Schizosaccharomyces pombe: one gene and its partner. The protein of the gene in region 1 purifies or fractionates together with the protein of each later gene. This does not show direct contact. Each region holds a gene or a part of one and is shown on either strand. Other genes may lie near its edges.

Region 1 (4,103 bases):
AAAGACCCCAAAGAAGCTTGTCGGAGGATTAGAAGAATTGGAATCCGTAAAGTTTAGCAACGCACAATGCGCGTCTTCCATCGAAATACGCCATCCTTGCATGTGTGAAACGCCAAAATGAAGCCATCGATCCCCGCCAGAACTCGAATGTTTGTCGAGTACGGGTTCTGAGAGTGTTTGGCCCATGTGTATATTTTCTATTACCTTTGTTAGCCCAGCTAAAAAACCTGTAATTTGCGGTTGATGCGTTTAGTAAAGTTACGGAAAGGAAACAAAAAAAAGTGTATGAGCAAATTAATAGGGAATTTAACCACGCTAGCTAAATAATATATAAGGATACTTTAAAAAAACTTTATATCGCATTACGCTTTAAAGTTGTCTCGTTAAAAAATAGCGATTTTCTGTACACCACGGAAGCGTTGCTTTGCAAATTCGTACGCTTTACGTTATTAACCAAATCGTTGTTGGGTAGAAAAGCGTGAAAATGAAGGGTGGGTAAATAATTTAGTAGAAATGATTTACAATATAAAAAATAAATTTTGATACTGTTAAGCTTCAATGTGCTCCAGCTCCGGCTAATATACCCTCACAAAGACACTAATGAACGATGCCTTGAAATTGCTAGCGCATCGAGGAGCCCTTACTTATAATAAAGCTATGGCGATATCGAAAAAAGTAATCCAAACCCAGGTCTAAAAGCAATTCTTGCTTCTTTCCTTTCACTGTTCGCTCTGGCAAAAAGGTCGTACTGGGAGTCGAACCCAGATCTCGAGAATCAAAATCTCGCGTGCTAACCGCTACACCATACAACCGAGTACGGTAAAGCCGTAGATTATGTTGCTTTACCATAAATGAAAAGTTAATATAATAATCCAAGAGGTAGAGAAATGAGAATGGAATGTTCATGAAAATGTCGTAGACTTTTTCCCCATGCAACTTGGTACATTAATAATACAATAATAAACATAATCTTATTCAAAAAGGCTTTGCTCACAATGCTCATATACCTGCTTACACTAGTCAACTGTTTATACAAGCTCTTCGTAATTAATGTATTAGAAGCTAACTTCGTTAAAAATGTTAAACGTTCATTTCCCGCGATTCGCTATATGGTAAATTTTTTAAAAAGAAATGAGCTGTAGCTAATAAATATCAATGAATGATAGATTGACGCAGCAATAAGAAAAACCATGTATTTTGACTACTGATTTACTAATTTTTAAATCGATCGTGACGTTTTTGTTGTCAATAGCAGCAATAAATCTAACAGTCATCATACTCTGAGAATTTTGCCCTACGACATGCACCTAAAAGACAAGAAACGCAAGTAAATTTTTATAATATTTCAATCATACTGCTGACTGTGCGCAGGTAGTCCTCGAATGTATATATATCTTGTAAATAAAGGATTCATCCTTGTACCGAAATGATATATACTGTACAACCTACAACGTCTTTCTCGGTCGCGCACTGTGTAAGTTCGTTTTTACGAATGCTAAAATAGCTGCTCGCAAATTGGTATAGCAAATTGAGTGTTTATCCATTATCGTTCATTTCTTGTCAGCAATACTACACTACGCTATGATACACTACGTTGCGCATCACTATATGTCATATGTTGGAATACTAGCTAAGATCCGTTTATTGATAATCACGGGTAACTATCCGTCTATATACATAGATACCCGATGATAACAACTATTTAGAAATATTATGAATAGAGTTCCAACTGAACCTCGTTCCTCAGTTCAGTTATGAGCTATATTAGTGATAGGTAACATTATAACCCTGTTAATACAATACCTATTCTCAGTTGCTACTTATACAACCTGTGTAATGTAATATAATAGACCACAAGGAAAACTCACCGCAGTTCTACGTATCCTTAAACCAGATACCAAACTGCGTAGCTTACATTTCTGGGGTTTAAAATTAGAAACCTTGAGCTGTCTTACCTTACGTTATTTATTTGATTTATATCGAAATTTCCAATTTCGTACAGGCCTGACTTTTACCATTATAAACAATCATGAATTCATTACAGAAGGGATCATACAAAGTTATTCCCGGGTCCAGCTTCTCAAAGAATTCAAATGGACTTTTATCTATTAAATGTACGTTGCCCATTTATTTTTAGAGACAGTGTATATCTCTGTTGCAAACTATGAACATCATACTTTCTCCAGGCAGAATACTTATTTCTTTTTTGTTTATAGACAATTTTATACCAGAAAGTGTGGACCCTTCTCGTCGAGGTGTTTTAGAAAAGGCTCAGGAAGCCTATCGTCTACGTCTTCCTTCAACTTTTGTAAGTATTATAAAATTGACTAAGCAAAGTTGGTTTCCCTTTTCTTCCATGAGGAGTAAAAATTTGAAAAAATCATTTTTTTACTTTTTGGTTCCTCAAATTTTGAAACATCAATTTGCTTCTGTTATTGAATCAACGAATGCTAATGTATATCTTCATTGGTAGGATGATGACAGGCCTCATATATTTGAAGGCTCATGCCAACGAGCCAGGAATGTGGACTGTGTACTAATTTTTAACGCTAAAACAAAGGTAAGTTATTGTCCCATATACTATTTTTAAAGAGGTTAAAATCTATGTATGCATGCGTGCATGTGTATGTATAGAACAGGAATCGTTTTCATGTCACTACTACGATACTAACATTAGGCATTAGACATTCACACTGGAGCATATTGATGAGATTGCTCGATTAAATGCTTTACGCAATCCAAAAGTCTCTAAAACTGTACCTTCTAATGCCATCACTCAATCTGATAATTCCCAAATCTCTGAATCCAAATCGACCTCTCAAAGTGCGGTCACGACTAATTCCACGAGACGTAAAGAAAAGGAATTGGAAGCTTCAAAGGATGGAAAAATAAAACCTTCATCGAGCAATACTCGATATCCTGCCATATCTAGCAAGGGACCAATCACCACCGATACCAACGATGAGCCTGACATGGAGGTCATGGAGTTGGATGACTTTGCCAAAGAGTTAGAGCTAGGATTTGATCAGGAATTTAATTCCATAGACGACCCCTCTACAGTATCCCAAACGGCCAGCAAACCAATCTCTTTGAGGGGTCTATCTTCGCAAGAGAGGGATTATGCTTCTTCTGCTCAGGCAGAGGGTATCAGCAGCGCTTCCGAGGATGAGGATTAAGTATGCTTTATGCTGTGTTTCGTATACACTTTCCAAACACGATAATGAGAAAATCTGTTAATGAACGACTTGCAACGAAATTCCAGGGAGTAAAGTAAAGCAAGACAAGTCTTTTCCATCACTACTCGACAGCGAATCGGCGGTAATAAACTCGTTTCACTCTGTGTCATTTTTTTAATTATATACGAACGTGTCTACGCCAAGGGAAAAACATATATCGTTTTAAAATGTTTTCATCTTTTTATATTTCTTTTTATTATTATTAATTCATAATGACTATAAAAAACATGGCTTGTCTTAGCGTTTCATGAGACGGACAATTTTATTCAACCCACGGCAATACCAGAGTAGCAACGTTGGGGTTTTAAATAAACTATAAAAAAAAAAGAAGCTTGACTAGTAAAAAAAAGAATTAGTAAAAGGAGTTAAGAAAAACTAATTGTCTGAACCAGGAAAAAGACAAAAAAAGAGTTTTGACATTCGTTTGTAAATTGCTCAGTAATCAAAGTTGACAGCATTTTGGTTGTCAAGACCATCAGGCTCATTAAATCAGATGATTAAGCATCCTTGCAATCCAACATTTGTCGTTTCAGTTTCCTGCATGCAAAAGACGAGCTTACCTATTTAGTCTGAATATATGAAAATGAAAAGAAGTTACTCAAAGCATTTCCACTAAGGAAAATATATTGTTGTAATTAGAAAAACTAAACTAGAAATCACCATCCAACAGCATCAGTCAGTATAGATAGTGTCAACTAGCGGTGTGTTTTACCAGGTAAACATGTTGGACAAGGAATATAATGAATACGTTGTTTAAGGAAGAACGAAGGTAGAGGTGTGTGTGTATATATAGTGTATGGGGGCATTAGGTAACAATGTTGTCTGTAGTTGAGAGAGTGTAAACAAGGATAGAAGAGAGAAGAGGAT
Region 2 (4,868 bases), on another chromosome or scaffold:
TCGCAATCAATTTTAGGTTGTTTCGGTGTATCTTATATATTTTTTTTACGATCATTAATGTTTATTCGTAAGGTTGCAATGTACCTAATAACCAGTGGTCTCTGTGCAAAGCTCTAAAGCCTTGACAGAGCATAAACCTTTACATTTATGTAAAAACCTCAGTTTTATATCTCGATGTAGTTTTGAATCTCGAAGAGAAAAAATGATATTATAAACAAGGCCTTGTTAACCAACACATATTGATGAAAGCATTTTTTTTGAAATCACCTTAGTTTAATTGACTTTAAAAAACTTTCAATAACTTGTAGTAGTCATCATCTAATTGCATTGCGAATTTCTTCTTGCTAACTACTTTAATTTGAAATTCTTTTTTTTTAACAAACATGGTATAAACATTTGCGCTGATTCTTATCCAATATTCTCGTATGGAAACCTCTTATATTATACTAAACGATTTGTTATATCACCGAATCAGCAATTTTTCAATCAGAAAGATTCTTTTCTTTCAATGAAAAAAATCTAAAAAAAAAACAATTTTCAAGATAGTGTTTCTTAGTAACCTAAAATTTTAAACTCATTCGGCTTCCAATTTATCAGCTGCGCACACTAAAACATTAGCAGTCAACAAGTTGGATTATCAAGTTTCTTATTACGTTTCCCTGCAAACTTGCACTGAGACCGCCTTGATGTTTCACATCAAATTTTGAGCTCAGGAAACAACTCATGAAATTTTTTTTATCACTGAAAGATTTTAAAGGAGAAAAATTCGTCCTACGCTCAGAATTGGATGAAAGCAGTGCTTTCTTGTGCGCAATTAGCCCAACCTGTAGATACGTCTTAAGGGGTATAGAAAGATAGTGTGTAAAACGTTCTTTTACTAATTTTCCAGATGAAATACCTTGGAAACGATTGCAACGGAACGTAACCTCAGAATCATTAACCGATGAACTTATCGTGGATCTGTTGTGCGGCAGATCCGAATCAAAGCACACATTGCAATTAGTGGTTTTAGAGAATTTATGTAGGGTATGTTTATTGCAATACTGTAGTAGTTAATGAATTGCTGATTGTGTGATGACTTTCAAACCAAGGAATTTTTTTGTTCGTCGCATCTACCCCATTTTGCCAGTCGTTTTTGAGCTGATTAATTAAATATGCTAACAATTTAGATTTATATCAACTACGTTGATCCTTTCCCTTTACGTATTGCCTGGTTTGAATTAGAACAACAAGCATTGAAAGACCATGAACATTTTGATGTACTGTGGGAGTGCAGCCATTCGATAAAGGTATGAAAAAAACTTTACATTCTTTCTCTTTTGCTGATTATTTGAAATTTAGGACCTTGCCCTTGCTAGTATGGCTCAACAAAAAAACGAGCTTCAAAAGCTTATGGCTTATACAGAGCAACTTCAAGAAGAATGTAAGTCTAGGGAACGAAAGCTTATAATGAAATTTGCAGATATGATTAAAAATGCAAGAAATAACGAGGATAATGAAGACAACCACCATATTAATTATGAGGATGAATCTGATGTCGGGACAGACGAGCAAAAGCAGCAAGAGGGAGTCAATTCTTCCGCAGTCTCTGATACTGACGAATCTGCAGTTTCTGATGAATTTATGCAGATAAAAGAAGAATTTCCAATGAAAGCATTGAGCGCTTCACCAACTGCAGACGCTTCTCCCGAGTCAGCAGGTGAAGATGATTCACATAGGCGATCGTCCCACGAAAGTAGCGAAACAGTTTCTGAGTAGCTTCGGAAGGAATGATAATATGATACATTACGCTTCAAGTTAAACTACCCGAAATGCCTCTCCATTCTTACACTTTTTTCAGTATTCAGGTCAACTTTATTCTCTTTAATTTCAAAACAATAATAAATTTACTTAAATTTAAATATTCACACGGAATCCTACTATAGGTAAAGCACTTGCAAGATAAATACAATATGTATAGTTGGTGAATTTTTATAAAGATGTCTTATAAGCCTAGCACTTCCTTCCTGTACAAAAGAATGAAGCATGTTTGCGATCGTGTTTACCATGCTATTATTTTCTGATCCACTTTTTCTTCAGCAAATTTACTATTTACATATATAATTTGTTACTCAAGGTTGGGCGCGTTCTGAAGTAACGTGTTTATTACTTGTCGACAATACGCTTCATAATTTCACCAAAATCCTATAACCAAGCCTGTTGTAATTTTATACTGGGATTTAGGCTTGAATATTCTTTTTTGACGGCATTTAGCAATTTTTGGCTTTGGATAAATGAATGCTTAGCTGTGTGGGCAAACGGGTTTTCGCTATTGGAAACGCAGTTACTAATTTGAATTTGCTAACATTCATACTGTTTTTAAATTAAATGCTGTGAAGATTTCTTTTCTTAAACTTTTCATATCTTTTCGAGTTACATGCTATCGGTAATTGCGCTAATTGACGCGAATTCTTAATATAATAGGCATTATTTGTTGTCTTCTAATCGAAATCTTTTAATTCCATAGCATATCTCTTTTTTAAGTAAATACTTTTATTTGAATAGTTTATACAGCGCATGCGATGAGCAACGACAGCAGTGATAATCAAATTCGTCGTCGGCATCATCCAGTACTGCCTAAGGGTTCCTTTCAGAAAAAGGACGATTCTATCGTCTTAGAACAGGAATTATCTACTCCAAAACAAGTCAACCAAGCCCGTCCAAAGTTTCCATCTCCAATTACTCCTACTCTTCCTGAAATGCATCTTCCCGTAGGGAATTCAAAATTCCAAGCGGTATTGCCAAGCTTGATAAGCCCTACGCTTCCTCCTGGGTTTGGAATGGCAAGCGATGACTCTGAAGCATCGTTAGCAGAGAACGATTTACATCCCTTGGATAACGATTCTACACGTACTAGCAAAACGCTTAAAAATTCATCAGAGGTTTTAACCGCTTCCAAACTTACTGATGAAGGTAATTCTAAACCTTTGTTGGAGGAAGGGGAGGTAGCTGTCAGTTCTCCAATTCTCCTTGATTCAAAAGATGTAATAATGGGAGTCACTAAGAGCTCAAAAAATCTAGTTGAAGATGCTCACAAATCAAAGAAGGCCTCCACGAACAGTTCCATAAATAATATGGTATCTACTGTAAATTCTGAAAATTCTAATGTTAATAATGGATCCTCGTTGAATGGTAACACCAGCAGCAATCTCAAGAGAAAAGCCAATGTAACGTTAGGTGATTATAAGCGCTTAAAAGTAAAAAACAAGAATCCTTCTTCCCAAGAGCTGATCACAGCTGATGTTGACAAAACATCTGGTTCACTGTCTGAAAAGTCGGAAGTAAATCATGCCTCTTTGAAGAAAACGTATATGCGTCTTCTTAACAGTGGGAAAATGCAAAAGAAAGAATGTGATAAGAAAGGAAAATTTTTCGAAGCGTACGCTGTAGATGCTGTTTTATGTTACACAGTTGCTTTTCACCTACAGAATCTTTCCAATCTTTCGAGAAACCATCCCGCTACTACGAGTAACTGGAGAACCCTCCCTGCGTATATTCAGTTTCTCATAAAAGAAGAGGATAAACTGGATCCTTGTATTCAAGGACTATTTTTTCTTTTACTCGGGATTGCATTTCGTGAAATTTTTCATATCGAGGTTATGAGGATACGACACTCACAATTGAATCTTATGAGAGACATAAAAGAAAGCTCAAGTGGATTAACATCTGCCAAGTCCCTCGGTGATGCACAGAATTTATGTGAGAATGCGGTGCGCCTTTACTCTTCGTATAAACATTACATTACATCTATGAAGAAGGGAAGTTCGTTGTTGACAATTGAATATATCTCATCTACTGCACCAAATACTTTTAACGAATTTTTTGTCCAAAAAAAGGCAAATATCCCTTTGCCATTAGATATCGACGCTCCAATTGGTGTCACAATCAGGTTTAGTCACAATTTATTAAACGAATGGATTAAAAAGCAAGGAGATGTTTTTGAGTCAAAGCTTTTAAAAGAAGATATCGAAAATCTTCAATCTTTAGAAGAAAGCTACCCCATTGCCCAATATTTATAAATAATTGTATTAACTCCCATAACTTGAAAGATTTGAGTCGGTCTTCAATAACAGAATGTCATTCTTTCACTAATAAAGTTACTTAATGTATTTTGCTTTATCATGCCTTTGTGTTTATTTTCAAATATGTAGAATAATCGAATAGATATTGATTCCCACGCTAAGTAGAAGTAATAAACTAAAACGTTTAGAATGCATGAACTTCTTAAGTACCTAGTACTATTCTGAATTTATATGATACGTTCACTGTAAAGATTTAAAAAGTCGTAAAAAAGTTCGAGGCTAGACTTAATTGTCTTTTAATACTAGATATACAAAGAAAGGCGATAAGCCTTTATACTCATGGTAATAAATAAAGAGCGATTTCAACAATGCGAGAGTCCTCCTTAATAATATGCAAATTACAGACGATAGAAACGTTTAAGCTGAAGAGGAAGTATTAACTCTTTCAGAATTACTGTACACAATAGGCTTTTCTTTCGAGCTCGGATGACGACGTTCTAACTTTGAAAGAATGCGACGACCACAGGGCGTATTCTTTATGCTTGGAATAAGTGGTTTAATCCGTTCAACCAACTCTGCGCGTTGCTTTACACTCGCATTATCAAGTGCCGTTTGAATAACATAATTAGCGAAAGAATCACGAAGTAACTTGGGAAGATGCTTTTCATCCATTAGTTCCGAAATCAGTTTTTCCTTAATAGCAGCGGGAGCAAAAAATATACACTAGTAAATTGATTAGTAAATTTCTGTTTTAACTTTACTACAAAACATACCTTTTCCATTACATTAGAGCTAAATTTTTGAGTT

What was found.
Region 2: the proteins of eaf1 (region 1) and ebp1 purify together in Schizosaccharomyces pombe (affinity purification with western blotting; one study listed by BioGRID). This does not show direct contact.

What each region holds. Positions count from the first base shown.
Region 1 is NC_003421.2:1,859,840-1,863,942, reverse strand, and holds eaf1 (RNA polymerase II transcription elongation factor Eaf1), read left to right. Parts: upstream 1-2,006; 5' UTR 2,007-2,029; coding exon 2,030-2,114; intron 2,115-2,216; coding exon 2,217-2,308; intron 2,309-2,473; coding exon 2,474-2,560; intron 2,561-2,684; coding exon 2,685-3,176; 3' UTR 3,177-3,476; downstream 3,477-4,103. Other genes in the region: serine/threonine protein phosphatase PP2C catalytic subunit Ptc2, read right to left, coding at 1-186.
Region 2 is NC_003424.3:3,275,841-3,280,708, reverse strand, and holds ebp1 (protein Ebp1), read left to right. Parts: upstream 1-2,175; 5' UTR 2,176-2,561; coding exon 2,562-4,058; 3' UTR 4,059-4,217; downstream 4,218-4,868. Other genes in the region: protein Xrc4, read left to right, coding at 724-844, 890-1,026, 1,170-1,289, 1,342-1,758; puf4 (RNA-binding protein), read right to left, coding at 4,479-4,784, 4,835-4,868.